4 linked regions of the Mus musculus genome follow. The protein of the gene in region 1 interacts with the protein of each later gene in a pairwise test. Links are inferred from orthologs where the notes say so. Each region holds a gene or a part of one and is shown in the gene's direction. Other genes may lie near its edges.

Region 1 (4,212 bases):
TCAGACCACTTCTTTCTTTCTTTTTTTAAAAATTTTTTTAATTAGGTATTTTCCTCATTTACATTTCCAATGCTATCCCAAAAGTCCCCCATACCCACCCCCCCCCACTCCCCTACCCACCCACTCCCCCCTCCTGGCCCTGGCGTTCCCCTGTACTGGGGCATATAAAGTTTGCAAGTCCAATGGGCCTCTCTTTCCAGTGATGGCCGACTAGGCCATCCTTTGATACATATGCAGCTAGAGACAAGAGCTCCGGGGTACTGCTTAGTTCATATTGTTGTTCCACCTATAGGGTTGTAGTTCCCTTTAGTTCCTTGGGTGCTTTCTCTAGTTCCTCCATTGGGGGCCCTGTGATCCATTCAATAGCTGACTGTGAGCATCCACTTCTGTGTTTGCTAGGCCCCCACTTGTTTCTTTTTTAAAATAAGTAATTTGTTTATTCACTTTATATCCCAACATCAACTCTTCCTCTCCTCCCAGTCCCACCCTCTCACATCTTCTCAGCCCTTCCCCATCTCCTTTCCGAAGGGGAAACCCACCCCTGTGTATTACGTCCGGATAGCCCCATTCCTTATCCAGTGCACCACTCACTGAGTGTTTGTTCTTTCTAATTGGGCTGACAACTCAAAAGAAACCCTTAACCTGTTTTAAAAGACAGGGTCTTACTATGTGGCTCTGGTGTCACTGAAAAGTAGGTCCTATCACTGCCTTCACCACCCCCACCCCCCTCCCCGTGTCCACATCCTACCCAGACAAGGTCTCTCTGTGTAGCCTTAGCTGTTCTGGAACTCTGGCCTTCAACCTTCAACTCACAGAGATCCTGCTACCAACTAGGGGCCCCATCACTTTTTTTTTTTTTTTTTTTTAAGACAGGGTTTCTCTGCATAGCCCTGGCTGTCCTGGAACTCACTCTTAAGACCAGGCTGGCCTCGAACTCAGAAATTCACCTGACTCTGCCTCCCAAGTGCTGAGATTAAAGGCGTGCGCCACCACTGCCCGGCTCCATCACTGTTCTTGATGGAAAGAATTTTGCTTCTGCCAAGTGCATCATTTTATTCCGAGCCGTTAGTTAGTATGCACAGATATAGAGCGCCACCATGTAGAAGGGAGGCCCTGATAGCTCTTTGCTGTCTTCCACAGCTCTGTGCTCATGTGCTGCCTAGCTGTGGAGTAACCAGTTCTTGATGTAGGATTAGGGAACACTGCCGTTCTTGACGGAAGCCAGCTATTTTTCTAGCAAAGGAAAAGTTCACATCTAGCGATGTGTTTGTTTACAAAATCTTCACAACAAAAACAAAGCTTAGAAGAAAACTTTCAAGGGTCATAAAATCCAACCCAGGAAGCAGCTTTCTCAGCTTCCTGGTTTATCTTGTGCTTGTGTCAAACTTTATAACCGTCTAAAAAGTTACAGAGAGAGGATTTGCATAGAGAGCTCTGGTTTCCATCCAGCTTTTCAACAGCGTGTTCCGCATAATGCACATAAATAAGCTTTTCTAAGCAGGTCTCGGAGTTACTGCCAATAATAAGAGACAGCAGCAATGGCGCCCTGGACGAAGTCCTCAGGGCATGGAGCAGAAGCATCCTGTTTCTAATAACCGAAAGTGAAAGTAAGGCCTGGGACTGAGCGCTGCTCGTCGCTGAAGCCAGGTTAGTGTTTTCGAGGTAGAGTTCAGTTCTAAGGCACCGGCTTCCGGGAGCTGCGCAGCGAGCGGGTGAGTGCTTGATCCATCCTCGGTCCGCCGCGTCCCTGCGGTCCCACCACCCGCGCTCAGGGATGCTCCACCCGGCGCGCGGTGGGCGGCGGCTTCCAGCGCCGCGACTCGGGGTCTGGGTCCCCAGTGCGCTGCCTGGAGACTCGCCCGCTCCAGGCGCTCCGGCCATGGGTTGCTTCCCTTCCTGGGAAAAGGAAACTTACAGTCATTGGGACTGGCTCCAGAAGGTTCTTAGAAAAATGGATTTCTCAGGAAGACTATTATTTGTATTTCTTTGGCAGGTGCTGAGTTCTGTAGTCCTGCCTCACTTTTTCAGAATATGTAAGTTGTTGTTGTTGTTGTTGTTGTTGTTGTTGTTGTTGTTGTTGTTGTTGTTTTTGGAAGGAGATGTTGAAAGGAGAATATTCAATGTAAGTTCTAGCGGGCACTGGTTTGGGTTAAGAGGACTCCTGCTCCAAAGGCACCCGAGCTACCTTGTGTGCCCCGAAGGAAACTTCCTGTGTCCTGTCCAGCCAGGAGAGAGGGAAAGCAGCAGGTTCCACTGGGCCAGAGAATGAAATCACCTCTCCTTTACTCCCCACAAAAAGCTCTTGAACATTCACCAATCAGTTATTCTGTTCCGGTCTCCCCGGCCCTGACTTGCAGAGAACTTAACTGTGAACCAATCAGTTCAGTTTCTGCATTTTCAGCTTTCTTCTCTGCCTATAAAGCAAACTTCTGCATAGCAGTGAAAACATTTGAGGCAACTGCTTTCTATTTACATTGTGCTGGCTTTGAACTCTTGATCCTCCTGTTACAGACCTGTGCCACTACACTCAGACAGACCACTTACTCGATTTATTCAATCAAGTGTGCCCTGATTGTAAAAGAAATTCAATTAGGATCTTTTAATTGTTAACATTGTATCCATCTTTTGACTTGTTTCTGGTCTATACAACATGGATACATTATAATTTCTTCCTTCCTTCCTTTCTTTTAATTTAATGTATATGAGTACTCTGTAGCTCTCTTCAGACACACCAGAAGAGGGTATCGGATCCCATTACAGGTGGTTGTGAACCACCATGTGGTTGCTGGGAATTGAACTCAGGACCTCTGGAAGAGCAGTCAGTGCTCTTAACCGCCGAGTCATCTCTCCAGCCCATTTTCTTCCTTCTTTATGCTGCCAGGAACTCTGTGTACCCGCCCCCCGCACCCCCCCCCCGATATAAGTATCCCTAGGAAAATGAGATGATTTTTTTTTAAGTTTACTGCCATAATAAATTACATGGCCTTGGTGGCTTATGCATACATGTGTGTGCATGTACACACTTTTCAATTTAAAAATACTTACTTTTAGTACTATTTTAAAATTAGATTGTGTGTGCCCGTGTGTGCCTGTGTGTGCCTGTGTGTATCCGTGTGTGCCCGTGTGTGTCTGTGTGTGTCTGTGTGTCAGTTGTAGGCATCTGCGGCTCTCCCTGGATAAAGTAAAAGGGCTAGCAGAGCTGTCTTCTGTTCTGGGAGCTCTCTCGGGATGAACTCATTCCGTCTCCATTTCCAAAGTTAGGACCAGCATTGCTTCTCTGATCATGTTTCTGTGTTCAGTCTAACTCTGGTGTTATCCCCTTCTTACTCTAGAGGGCCTTCTGGATCATGTTAAGTTTTCACACACAATGCAGGATGATCTGCATATTGTGTGTGTGTGTGTGTGTGTGTGTGTGCACTCGCGCAGGCTAGCACGTGCATATGTGTACATACCTGAGCATGCACCTGTGGAGGCCAGAGGTGGAAGGCTGGATATTGTCTTCTCTTTTGCTCCACCTTAATTTCTGAGTCAGGCTCTCTCAATGGACCTGGACTTTGGCTAGACTGAGAGTGACTTTCAGGACACCTTCGAACCTTGCCCAGGATGGGAAGTACCAGTGCTTACCCAGCAAGCTCTTTACCCTGGAGCCATCTCTCCAGGTTCCACCTCTGTATTTTACAATCAGCATCCTGAATTCAGTTTGCAGCCTTAAATCTTCTCTGCAGTGTAATCTAATGTTTTCACAAGTTCTTGGGACTAGAACATGGATGTCTTTGAAGGTGTCATTTTTCTGCTTACTATAAGATTGCTTGAAAGGGAAGAATTACCACATATTCCACACAGTGTGAAAGGGAAAATATTTAGATGAGAAATATGATGAACACATTCTGGGGGCGCTATGTAATAGACCACTTACAGCAAGAGATTTTAAGAATATTGGTGTTTTGGGCTGGAGAGATGGCACAGAGGTAAGAGCACTGACTGCTCTTCCAGAGGTCCTGAGTTCAGTTCCCAGCAACCACATGGCGGCTCATAACCATCTGTAATGGGATCCGATGCCCTCTTCTGGTGAGTCTGAAGACAGTGACAGTGTACTCATATATAAAAATATATCAAAATAAATAAATGAATCTTAAAAAAAAACAAAATGAATCTAAAAAATGTTTAAAAGAAGAATATTGGTGTTTTAATAACAATATTTAAAAACAATTA
Region 2 (4,183 bases), on another chromosome or scaffold:
ATTTGACGAACGCTTTCGGCAGTATGGTTTCAATCGAATCAGCCAGGTACTTAAAAGGGAGAGGGCATGTAGGACTAAGACTGGAGGCGTGTCAGGGGTGAAGTGGCCATTGGTGGAAAGGAGGCAGTGAAGCAAGAAGAAAGTGGTTGGATGATGGAGAATTGAGGACAGTGGAGTGGAACTTTAGGGATGATCATGTGGGCCCTGGGGATATCATTAAGTTATTGTGATTAAATCACTGTGACCTCTCCCTGTCTCTCTCCCTCTCTTCCCTCTCCCCTCCTCTATCTCTCCCTCCCCCCCCCCCGCCCCTTTTCCAGGCTTGTGAGCTGCACGTGGCAGGGTTTAATTTTGAGGTGCTGAACGAAGGTTTTCTGGTTCATAAGGGATTCAAGGAGGCATTGAAGTTCCATCCCCAAAAGGAGGCTGAAAACCAGCGCAATAAGATCCTTTACCGCCAGTTCAAACAGGAGTTGAAGGCTAGGTACCCCAACTCTCCCCACCGATGCTGAGTCCTTGTCTTCCATGGTCTGAGAATTGTCAGTATCTGGCTCCAGGCCTGACTGGGGTAAGAAACATGCCTCCACTTTACAGAGGTAGCTATGGGTTTGGAACACTGGACTTGACTATGGGGTGCTGGGAGTCAAGTCTCAGCTTTACCACTAACTAGCTGTGTGGCCTTGAGCAAATACTATTACTTCTCTGAGCCTCCGTTACGCCGTCTGTAAAAAGGGAGGTGAAAATACCTACCTCACAGAACTGTTGGCTCAGATGAGACGCTGTATGTGTAAACATCCTGTAAACTTCGTACAAATGTGAAGTATTATTAATATTGCTACAGTGTTATTATGATATTGTTACTATTAACCATGTTGGGTGGATAGCGGCAGAGCAAAAAGTTTGAATGGGCTAGAGGTGGGAAGCTTGAGTGTTTAATAAAATGAGGCTTTTGGAAAGAAAGATGAAAACGTAGAATGTAGTGCTAAGAACGTTTCCCGTTCTCTCATGCCTTCGCCCTCCGCCCTCCGAGATCCCTGAAGGAGGAAAGAGATAAAGGTTAAAGTCCCAGATCTGTGCCCTCCAGTAGGTTGGGCTGCTCATTTGCCTTCGGATGACATTATGTAAATAAACGAATGTCACACCCACAGCTGGCTCTGTTACTCTCCTAAGCCGAGGGGTGGTGGGCCGGAGCACCGTGTTAGACGGCGGTGGACCCAAGGACACCGACCACAATGCTAGGACAGGCTGAAGGCCTGGGTTACTGGGGGCCAGTTGCTATGGAGACCCGTCCGCCGTATCCCGGCATGCCTGGACACCAGTGGTTCCATTGTAAGCGCCACAAATGGGCGCCTCCTGATGACGCACACGGAAGCGTCGACACCTCCTGGAGAAAGAGAATCCTGCGCAGCACTGTTCCGGAGATCAACGGCGGCGGCGTTCACACCCTGGGTCGGACAGCTCTCCGGGAGTCCTGGACGTGAGGCCGGAGGCCCCAGTGTCTGCGGTGCGTATGGCCACGCCCGGCGCTGGGTTGGGCTTTCCGGATCGGAGCTAAAGCAGAGACTTAACCGGCCCGACTCGCGCGCTGGCCTGAGAGGAGCCCGCGGTTCCGAGGGTGGATCGAGGTGGGATAGTTCCTTGCGCCGCAGAGTTTGTCCTCTGTGTCTGTAGGGAGGGGTCTGCTTTCCCTGGAGGTTTGCTGTGGAGGTGCTTATACACCGCGCGTTTACCGTGTGCCTCTTCCACTCCCTACAACCCTCAGCAATGGTATATCCCCTATTTGTACCCGGGTTAAGGAGGGACGATTGGTTGTGACTTCATTTAACGAAGTCAGGATCAGAGTCAGCTGGAGGAAGGAGATCCTTGAATTCATCCTGCGTCTTAGAAAGAGTATATACAACGGTGAAAAGGAATTGCCAGTGTGGAGGGTCTGAGGCGTGAAAAGGGGAACAGTGAGGCTGTTTTGGAGATCTGGATTTTCAGAGCAGGAGGAAATGCTACTAAACTCTCCTGCAGGTCCGGCGCTATAATTACTTGCATGGGTGTGAAGGAGCGTTACTCCAAGTAGGGTTGCCAAGAAGGAAAAGCCAGTTTCTATACTGCAAAAGTTTATGTTGTTTAATTTGGGTTTAGAAATTCCCAGTCATCAAGTGAGCTGGCACTGCACTGGGCGAGTAGGACAGCCTGCTGCCCTGTCCTGATGAAACACCCACATTTCACTGGGTGGTCGGACATGAGACTGGGAGAATATGAGATAAAAAACAAAGAAACCTTTAATCCCAGCACTAGGGAGGCAGAGGCAGGCAGATTTCTGAGTTCGAGGCCAGCCTGGTCTACAGAGTGAGTTCCAGGACAGCCAGGGCTACACAGAGAAACCCTGTCTCGAAAAAAACAAAACAAAAAAAAACTTCCTGGGGGAAGGAGTTATGCCTTCCCCATGGGAAAGACTTACAGAGCAGCAACCAGAGATGTAGAAATCACACCAGTGTGAACTAGAAGCATCTACATCCAAGATGACCTATTCTCTCTGGGGGCCTGGCAGTATCAATCTCTCGTTGTCTCCTTCCTTCTGAAAATACCTTCCACCCTAACTCTTGGATTTTCAATCTGTTCTGCAGAGGTTTCTCCTCCTGCCTCCTTTGTTGACCTTGGGAATTCCAACAGAGGCCCCTTCTCACAGTTCCGCCTGAAAAGTCAGACTGCACAAAGCCTAAATAACTTGCCGTATGTAGCTAGAGGAGCCTGGGTCTAGTGGAAGTTCACATGCCTGTGTCCCTGGTCCCTTTTCTCACTTCTAGGTCTTTGTACTTGTTTTTCACTCTGCCTGGAATGTTCCATCTCAGGCGGCCTGGTCCTCACCTAGTCTGTCTCCCTCTGGAAGCTGTCACTGTAGCAGCAAGCTCCAGCTCCTGTGTAGACACCTCCCATAACACCTTAATTTGACTCTCTTCACACCATTATAAAGGTCTGCTTCTTTGCGTTTCTCCCAGAAATTTGTCATTTCCTCGAGGCCAAAGGCTGTCATAGCTATACTGTAGCATCTGCCACAGTCCACGGTGACTGTTGGTGCCTGGCACACTTTAGGTGCTTAGTAAATACTGGATAAGTAGGAAGAAAGGTAGGGGAGGGGCTTAGTGTTCACTGTTTCTGAAAGGTTACCTAAGGCAAGCACTGGCAAATGTTGGTGTTTGCTACAAGGAAATTGATTCGTAATTCTGCCGCAGTGGTTTTAGTGTGAGTGCTGGGTATCCAAACACTGAAAGAGGAGGAGGTGAAAGTCAGAATAGCAAGTGTGCGCAAGGCCCAGAGAACTACAGAAAATTAACTAAACGGGGCTGTTTCATATTTCTGCATTCATTCTTTTACCTACTCATTTGGATTTGACACAGCCTCACCAGCTATTGCTAGCCTGAAACTAACTGTATATCAGGCTGGGCTTGAATTTGTAGTAATCCCCCTGCCTCCTGAATGCTAAGATAACAGGCCTGTACCACCTCACTTGGCTTTATTTTTTTATTTGTGTTTGTTTTTTCCAGAGAGATCTAGTCTAGGTGCCTCTTCAGACAGCAATCTACCACTGACCTGTACCCCCAGACATACTGCTTTTGTGTCTTTTTAAGACAGAGCTTCGCTGTCTAACCCAGAATGGCCTCCTGCGTCAGCGTGTGGATTATGTATATGAACCTCATCAGGCTCTCTCTGCTTTTTAGTTTTTTTTTTCTCTCCAGTACTGGGAATTGAGACCTAGAATTGAATTCTAGAAACACCTCGAACTCAGAAATCCGCCTGCCTCTGCCTGTGCTGGGATTAAAGGCGTGCGCCACCACGCCCGGCCTTCTTTTCCTTTTTTTAAAAGATTTGTTTATTTTATGTAAATGAGAACACTGTAGCTGTCTTCAGACACACCAGAAGAGGGCATTGGATCCCATTACAGATGGTTGTGAGCTACCATGTGATTGCTGGGAATTGAACTCAGGGCCTCCGGAAGAGCAGTCAGTGTCCTCTTACCTGCTGAGCCGCCTCTCCAGCCCCTCCTGTTTTTCCTCAGGAAAACCCTGAGCTTCCGCATCTGAACTTCCACAGAGGAAGGTGCTTCCTGTTCACGTCCTTAGGAGTGCTAGGGGCTTAGGATATTGCTCAGTGGTAGTTGGGGCTCAGCATTTATGGGAATCTGAGTTCAATC
Region 3 (4,165 bases), on another chromosome or scaffold:
TATCTATCTATCTTTGGTTTTCGGAGACAGAGTTCCTCTGGTTGTCTGGTATAGCCCTGGCTGTTCTGGAACTCACTATAGACCAGGCTGACATTGAATTCAGAGATCTGTCCCTGAGTGCTAGGATTAAAGCTGCATGCAGCTACCAGGCTGGAATCTCTTCTTGAGGGTTGGGTTGCTTTGTTTGTTTGCTGGCTCTGTAGAGTCTTCCCTATAGGGCTGGTCAGTTTAAAGAAAAGACAGGATCACTGGCTGGCCTACAAGTGTAAGCCGGTCCTGATGTGGCCTTGAACTACTTGAGCCAGTCCCTGAGCAGGAGGCTGGCTGGGCTGGCAGGAGAAGAAACAGCCCATTTTAAAAGGTACCACCCGTTTTTAAGGTACCGGGCTTTTGTCTCAGCTCAGGGGGGTGTAGATGAAGCTGGCCATCATGGAAGCTCACCACCTTTGTCATCTACCAGAGTTTTTATCTAACTGCTACTTCCTTGCCACCAGCAGCCCTAGTTTGGCTTGAATGTCTGGTACAGCTTCTAGTATATATTGTTCCGCCCTTCCCCTCATCCACTGTACAGACTCTGGGTTCCCTGCCCCCAGTACATCCTACGCTTTTCTCTTGGCTAAGGGACACTGAGCCTTTTCAGGGAGCCTTCTCTCCCTCTCCAAGGACATCTGCAGCCACCTCAGGGTAAATCCTGTTTTGTCTTGGTGGTGCCAACCCATTTCCCTTGACAGTGAACATAAGGAATGGAGGTCCCTGACTTGATAACTCCGAGGATGGACAACTCCTTACTCGGAAATCCGCCTGCCTCTGCCTCCCGAGTGCTGGGATTAAAGGCGTGCGCCACCACGCCCGGCTCCCTTTTCTCTTTCTGTCCTTTTTCTTTCCTCCCTCCCTCCCTCTTTCTTTCTTTGAAACAGGGTTTGATGCCTAGAACGGTCTTAAATGAATCCCATGGGGGTGACCTTGTGCAGTTAGGCGTAACTGTGTGCTTTAAGGGCCTGGCGGCACCTCATCTTCCGTAGGACTTTTTGGCTTAGTGGCATGAGACTGCGTTAGCCCAGCAAAACCATCCTTGCTGGAATCTTTCTCTGGCCCCTGCAGCGATGCAGTTCAGGGCAACTCCTAGATTGCGGACTTGGAGCTTCTATTCGCAAGATTCTACTCTCCGCCCTCCAGTGAGGCCCCGCCTCCTCCCTGCCCAGCCAATCTGCGCCTCTCACACAGCCCCATCCGGGCCTCAGCGCCTCCACATGCACACGCCCCTCGCGCGGGTTGTCCTATCCGAAGTGGAACCTTCAAGATGTCCAATCAGAGCGCGCCTCTCCCGGGCTCCGCCCCCGGGCCTGGGTGCTCCGCTTACTCTGGACCCACCCCGTCCCCACCGGCCCGGTGGCGGAGGCGAAGCGCAGTTACCCTCCGGACCTCTGACCATGTCGCTGCAAGTGTCGAGGAGCTTGCGGGTTGTGGCCTACAGCCTGCGCACCGCCCTGACCTTCTGCTCGCCGCGGCCCTGTGTACCGAGCGCCGCCGCCGTCCGCTCACTGCGCACCGGATCTGCTTTGCTGTCGGGTAAGTGCAGGGCACGTGGTCACCGCTCCTGCCCGCCCTACTCCCAAGCCTCCTGGCCGGACCGACCTATAGCCCTACCCACGCTTCTCGCTCTTGGGATCCTGGTTCTGCGGCCTTTCTCCCTAAGTAGGCGGGAGAGTACAGGAGCAAACTTTGAACCCGGGGTAGAAAGGTGGAGCTGGGAGGGAAGGACGGCTGGACCCGCAGGTAAACCGGCCACTCGTGCCGGGCTGAGCTTGCTTTTAGGTGCACCGAGATCCTAAATGTGGGGAGCACTTAGGTTTGCTGTGGAACCTAACAGCAGTTTGTTTACGAGGAACTGCGAAGTGAAGTTAAGCAGAAACACATACTAAAATTTAGCAGAATGCATATACAGATGAATGAAAAGTCAGAGTAACAGAAATAAGCTTTTTACTCTCTCCCCCGCCCCCCGCAAAATCAAGCGTAGTGAGGAAGCTTTAGCTGTGAACTACAGACAGCAGGAAAAGTTCTAACGTCTGAGTCATTGATGTGTACTGGGGTTCAAACGAGCCTGGTTTGACGGACTGGAAATAGCTGGGAGACCTGCCCATTGTACGCGTTTGCACAGTTAGCTGGGAAACAGTTTTATGTGCAAGTAGTGGAGACCTTACTCAGGCAGCACAAATCGGAACGGCTGCTCTCAGCGAGTGCCGTGGGTCAGAAATCTGTGGAACTCAAAATGTTGATCACGTTATTCCTCGGTGTGGAGTGCCACGTTTCTTCCTTTCTTGCTAAAATTTCTCCAGTTTTTCACACACCAGACCGTTATTGACTGGAGTACAAGGGTAAAGAAATGCTCAAATAAGCAGTCCGTTTCAAACCAGGCATGGTGGGTGGCTTCCACCGGTAACCGTGTCAGCACTGCTGAGGTGGAGGATCGCTGTGAGGCCGAGGGCAGCTGGAGCTACATACTGAGTTCCAGGTATTTGGTTAAATATTGCCTAATGTGTCAATTCCCACGGTCTGCTTAACTACTCAGGTTCTTTTCATTTTTACCCTCTTTGAACTGGCAGAATTGTGCACACTTATTATGCAGGGTGCAGAGCCTTGTGCTTGTTGAAACACAGACATTATTCAATTCTGGTTTTTCCTCTTAGAGCTGTGTGGTCTCGGGCACAGTCTCTCAACTTCTCAGAACCCCAGTGCCCTGCATTAGAACAGTGGAGGCGAGGCAATAGCTACCTCAGAGTTACTGGGAAGTCGTCCTGTCACCTGCAGCTTGACATATTAGCAGTGAATAGTTTTATTAACTATTAGTGTGTAGTGCCAGATAGCACCACTGACCCATATTAAGCAAGCTATTGTGTTTGAGAATGCAGTATCTTCAGTTTCAGCTCAGATTTTCTGAGGCCCCAAACCATGGTGGGGTTTTGTTTCTGTTTTCTCAAGGCTGGGTTTCTCTGTGTAATCTTCCCTATTCTAGAACTCTCTCTCTCTGTAGATCAGGCTGGCCTAGAACTCACAGAAGTCTACCTGCCTCTTCCTCTCTGAGTGCTGGGATTTAGGTGTGCCGCCCCCCCCCCCCCCCCCAGTCTGTTTCTGCTCTGAGGTCTGCTCTCACTGCGAAGCTGGAGAGACCCCTGTGTAGCTGAGGATGACAACTTCAGATCCTTCCACAGTGCTGCGACTGGACTGCCGAGCACCACCAAACCCAGCTGTGCAATGGTAGAGACTGAACTCAGAGCTACCACAGTGATAGGCAAGCACCCATCCCCCAAAGCCACATCCCCAGGTCTCAAACTGTGTTTTTCGAGGATTAGGAAGAAAGTAATTATTTACCTAATCTGCTTTCTTCAGTGAGGTCAAGGGTTAACGGAGAATTGTAATCTGTGCCTAAGCCTAGGTAGCATTCCTGGGCTAAAAGGACAATATGGACTTTAAGGGCAAGTGGACCTGGGTGTGCTGAGCTCAGAATGCTGCTGGCTCAAACTGAAGCTGCAAAGTTGAGGCAGAGCAGCGACACTGTCAGCGGTGTGGCCGAGGATAGCGCAAAGGGTCAGAGATCTGTGACTGTCCGCCCCTGGTCAGATGCTGTGTTGAGGTGATGATTGTTGGTCATAAGGTAATCAGGGGGTTCTAGACTTGTAAGAGAATGGCAGTTGAGAGCCACAGCCACATAGCTGTGCATCATCTTTGACCCAAATCCCTTTTCCTTTATTTTTTTTAGCAGGGTTGGGAATTGAAGCCAAGGCTTTGGCCCTTTCTTCAAGGACAGGCTTAAAGAATTGCAGAATTTTAAGAACTTGGCCAAGTTATAATTGTTTATAGGAAGCCTGTTTCAGTCCATAGAACTAAGTTGCAGTTACCTTAGAGAACTCTACCTAAAGACTCACATTACCCTTTTTTAGGTTAAATCTTTTGGTTTTCATATCTTTGTTGTTGTTGTTTTGTTTCTTGAGACAGGGTTTCTCTGCAGCCCTGGCTGTCCTGGAACTTACTCTGTAGACCAGGCTGGCCTTGAACTCAGAAATCCACCTGCCTCTGCCTCCCAAGTGCTGGGATTAAAGGCGTGCGCCACCACGCCCAGCTTGGTTTTCATATCTTAAAAGGTTTATGCTACACGTGTTTTGCTTGC
Region 4 (4,031 bases), on another chromosome or scaffold:
TGGATCGCAGGAGTGAGTGATTTAGGAAGGGAAGGTTTTTAGAAAAGACAAGAACAAAATCAAGGACAAACACTGTGCAATCTGGTCAACTTCACTTTGCACACTCTGAAGTCAGCTACCTTGCTGTTCGTAGACACTGACTGGGTGGTGAGAATTTTCACTGCTAACACAGTAAAAGCAGGCCAGGACTCAAACATAATTCTTATTCTGGGATAAAGTAGAGGGATAGAAAGCAAGAAGAGGGAAATTCTATAGGTGGAACAACATTATGAACTAACCAGTACCCCGGAGCTCTTGACTCTAGCTGCATATGTATCAAAAGATGGCCTAGCCGGCCATCACTGGAAAGAGAGGCCCATTGGACTTGCAAACTTTATATGCCCCAGTACAGGGGAATGCCAGGGCCAAAAAGTGGGAGTGGGTGGGTAGGGGAGTGGGGGGGGGTATGGGGGACTTTTGGGATAGCATTGGAAATGTAAATGAGGAAAATACCTAATAAAAAATTAAAAAAAAAAAAAAAGAAGAGGGAAATTACAACAGCAAAACTCTGTCATTGCAGTGTCCGTGAGCAGTTCAGCTAGACTGTACTTAGCCGGGATACTATGAAGTCGTGACCAATATACCAAGGTCTTGATTTCAGGCTTTGCTACAGATTAACTGAACTATCTCTGAAGACACTAGAGTCCTTTCGCAGGGCGAGGATTAGTCAGTTTCTCTTTCCATCCTTTTAGAATATGCTGTTCTTGGTTAAAGTCATGGCGCTCTCAAAGAGTCTAAAGCATAGATTGTCCCATGTCTCTTCCAGACACCAAGATGCTACTTTTCGATCACAACCTCCGCTTCCATCCTACATTTGACATCTCTTCGTGACCAATTCATGAGACAACTACCAGGTAGCGCAAACGAAGAGCCCTTGAGGGACAGCACTCATGTGGAGGCTGGCAGGTCAGCGACGTCTTCTCGTCTCGCCTTTTCCGATAAGGAATATTTGAAGGGCAAGGATTGCGGCGGTAGAAGGTGAAAGAGGTTTTGGTTGGTTTTGTTTTGTTTTGTTTTGTTTTTCCATTGTAGGACCATAAAGTCATTGTTTCTGGCTGTGTTCCACCGGATCTAGCAAAGTACCAACTTCCGGTCCGGTTTCTATGTCTTCCGAGTCTCGAGTCCCTCTAATTGTGCAGGAGTTCCTGCCGGGTGCAACGCTCAGCAGCTACTTCCGCCAGAAGTCCCTGGCTGCTCGGGCTCGGATGCTGCTGCCCCGACGCCGGGTCCGTCTCCTCCGCAGCCCGCCCGTCAGACGCCGGTGGCAGCGGGGAGTGCAGGGCCTGGCGGGAAGCCTTCTCTGCGACCGAGTCCCGGCCAGTGGTGCGGAAGAGACTTGGAGAAGCGGCCAGGGCGGTGCCCGCAGGCCCTGGCGCACCCGCCCAGCCGGGGCGGGGCTCGACCTCCCGGGCCCGCCCAGCCGGGGCTCCGTCCGGGTCTGCGGATTAACCGCCGGGCACCTGCGGGACTGGGCCTCCCGCCCCTAGGCTGCGCCCAATATGGAGTTTGCGGAGCTGATTAAAACCCCACGGGTAGACAATGTGGTGCTGCACCGGCCTTTCTACACCGCCGTGGAAGGGACCCTGTGTCTGACAGGCCACCACCTGATCCTGTCTTCCCGGCAGGACAACACGGAGGAGCTCTGGCTCCTCCATTCAAATATCGACGCCATCGACAAACGGTGAGCGCCCACCACACCCAGGTCCCGGAGGAGCCTGGAACGGAACAGACGCTTTCAGGTGGTTTTTTATGGGTATCCTGGCTCAGCCAGCCAAATGAGCCTTCTGGGGCCTAGATCTATCTGCACTGGCCACCTGGCATCCCCAGGCTAAGGTCTCAGAGTCGTAGTGGTCATTTTGAACAGCATTTGGGCGTATTTTTAAATGTTCTTTGTAAAAAAAAAATTTCTTCCACCACATTTCTTGAATTATTGGTTGTTGTTAATCTGACTTCACGAAGTTATGATTCAATACAATTTAAAGCGACCCCTCCCCCACGATCTCGTTTTTAAATAGGCATGCTCAGCCCTTTGCAGCATAGGCCGGTCTTGAACTTCCAACTCTCCAGCCCCAGCCTCCCAAGTAAGTGCTGGAATTACAGTTGTGTGTGTATGGGCCGCTATGCCTGGCCATAGTATTTAACTGAGTACACTGTCATTTTTTCCATATATATGCATATGCATTTTAGTCTCTCCTTAAAACGTTTTAAAATCGGTAAGGTGCACCCCTGTAATAGCTGATGGGGAGTGCCGATGCAGGTGGATGACAAATTTTACACCCCTGCTCATTTAGGGAAGACTGAGTTTATCATATTGCATCTTACTTATTCTCTGGAATGATCACTTCCCACTGAGGGTAATCATTAGCCCTTAACATTCAGTTTTTCTTGTGAAAAGAAAGGGGCTGGCTCTAAAGGAACATAGGAACTAATTCATCTTTATTTCCCTACTCCATCACTTTAAATTTTTTATTTTTACTTATGTGTGTATGTGTGTATCTGTGTACAAGATACCATCAGCAGACTACTAGACTCCTCAGTTCATCTTTATTGCATAAATGTATTCAATGGTCTCTCATGCCTGCATGATAAAGACTGAATCCCTGGTTCTCTGTGTTCTGGTTCTCACCTACTGTCCTCACTAGTTTTCTTACCATTTTCATGATTTCATGTAATTTCTTACAGATTTGTGGGCTCTCTGGGTACCATCATCATAAAATGTAAAGATTTCCGAATCATTCAGTTGGATATTCCTGGAATGGAGGAGTGTTTAAATATAGCCAGTTCCATTGAGGTAAGTATGCTGCAGGCAAAATTCTGATAGGAAAATGGCGATATTTTGATTTTGTACAGCCCTTGATGCATAAGAATCATTTACTGTGCGAATCTTGCTACTTTCGCTCTGAAGACAGTTTGTGAACTGTTTTTCTGTTTCTGTAGATTTCCTGAAAGAACATCCTATGTGAAATTGTAAGCCAGTAAAACAAATACAGTGTAGCTGATTGTGGCCATGTTACAGTCCTTGGGCATCACAGTGAGCAAGTGTGGTCATCCTGAGTGGAGCAGCTCTGAAACCCTTCAACTCTGAGCAGTGCTCTTATACTGTGATTGTTGCAGTAGTGAGGTCCTGTTAACATGGGGCCTATGGGTGAAGCACCTCACCTCTCACAGTTAGCCTGTAGTGTCTTATAAAAGGAAGATGACATTACCTGCCTTTTATAGGTGTTTTACGATTACATTCGTGGGTTTATGTAGAATGCTTAGTATAATTATTGGCAAATGGTTGCTGTCATTGGAGGACCCTTCTATGGCAACAGCTTTATTTTGAGACTTTGTGGTAGAAATTAGCCATATCACATAAAGTTCACTGTCGTACCATTTCTTAGCTTACCATTGCACTGTGTGTCAGATGTATACTCTCAGTGTTGTGTATACAGACAAAGCAAGTGATTGTCACCAACAGTTGCCATTTGTGACTTTGGCATGTCTGCACGTATGTATTTGTTTTTGCCAGTTCACCTAAGGCGTGTCTGTTTATGCATGTATAAAAGCGTTGAGCCACACATAGAAACTTTGCTTGGATAGTTTAAGGTCTCTGATGAAGGTCTCACATTCTTTTCCTTCTTCTAACTATTTTGGTTACTCCAACTTTTAAATTGCTGCCACTAAATTATATCAATTATATCAACTGACTGTTTAAAGTAATTTCTAGGCAATTATAGAGTCAAGCTGATTTTATTTTCTTTCTGTGTAACTGACTTACTGGGCTTTATGTAAAAAAAAAATAGTGGGTTTAGCTCTTAAAAGGAGAGAGAAAGCCTTAAATCTATAATTAGAATTTTGTTTGGCTTTCAACAAGAAGTAGAGGATCAAGTAATATGTTGTCGAGGAAATGACACACAAACCTTTCTGCTTTTGCCAAGTTCTACTGGAAGAAATGAGCATGTAAGTTGAATAGTCTGCCATATGTAGTTGTCACTTGGAAGTATGCTCTT

The links.
Region 2: the proteins of Nmi (region 1) and Brms1 interact in binary tests that used the Homo sapiens proteins (3 or more experiments, as listed by UniProt). The link is inferred for Mus musculus from reciprocal best matches to the Homo sapiens genes NMI and BRMS1.
Region 3: the proteins of Nmi (region 1) and Gcsh interact in binary tests that used the Homo sapiens proteins (3 or more experiments, as listed by UniProt). The two-hybrid records come from large-scale screens. The link is inferred for Mus musculus from reciprocal best matches to the Homo sapiens genes NMI and GCSH.
Region 4: the proteins of Nmi (region 1) and Mtmr9 interact in binary tests that used the Homo sapiens proteins (3 or more experiments, as listed by UniProt). The two-hybrid records come from large-scale screens. The link is inferred for Mus musculus from reciprocal best matches to the Homo sapiens genes NMI and MTMR9.

What each region holds. Positions count from the first base shown.
Region 1 is NC_000068.7:51,970,409-51,974,620, reverse strand, and holds the start of Nmi (N-myc-interactor), read left to right. Parts: upstream 1-1,412; 5' UTR 1,413-1,712; intron 1,713-1,993; 5' UTR 1,994-2,033; intron 2,034-4,212. UniProt on the Homo sapiens protein: Acts as a signaling pathway regulator involved in innate immune system response.
Region 2 is NC_000085.6:5,039,987-5,044,169, forward strand, and holds the start of Brms1 (breast cancer metastasis-suppressor 1 homolog), read left to right. Parts: upstream 1-1,376; 5' UTR 1,377-1,504; exon of another isoform or gene 1,505-1,625; intron 1,626-4,183. Other genes in the region: B4gat1 (beta-1,4-glucuronyltransferase 1), read left to right, coding at 1-46, 321-512. UniProt on the Homo sapiens protein: Transcriptional repressor. Down-regulates transcription activation by NF-kappa-B by promoting the deacetylation of RELA at 'Lys-310'. Promotes HDAC1 binding to promoter regions.
Region 3 is NC_000074.6:116,990,692-116,994,856, reverse strand, and holds the start of Gcsh (glycine cleavage system H protein, mitochondrial precursor), read left to right. Parts: upstream 1-1,358; 5' UTR 1,359-1,430; coding exon 1,431-1,569; intron 1,570-4,165. UniProt on the Homo sapiens protein: The glycine cleavage system catalyzes the degradation of glycine. The H protein (GCSH) shuttles the methylamine group of glycine from the P protein (GLDC) to the T protein (GCST).
Region 4 is NC_000080.6:63,541,147-63,545,177, reverse strand, and holds the start of Mtmr9 (myotubularin-related protein 9), read left to right. Parts: upstream 1-1,224; 5' UTR 1,225-1,538; coding exon 1,539-1,720; intron 1,721-2,053; exon of another isoform or gene 2,054-2,120; intron 2,121-2,721; coding exon 2,722-2,830; intron 2,831-4,031. UniProt on the Homo sapiens protein: Acts as an adapter for myotubularin-related phosphatases. Increases lipid phosphatase MTMR6 catalytic activity, specifically towards phosphatidylinositol 3,5-bisphosphate and MTMR6 binding affinity for phosphorylated phosphatidylinositols.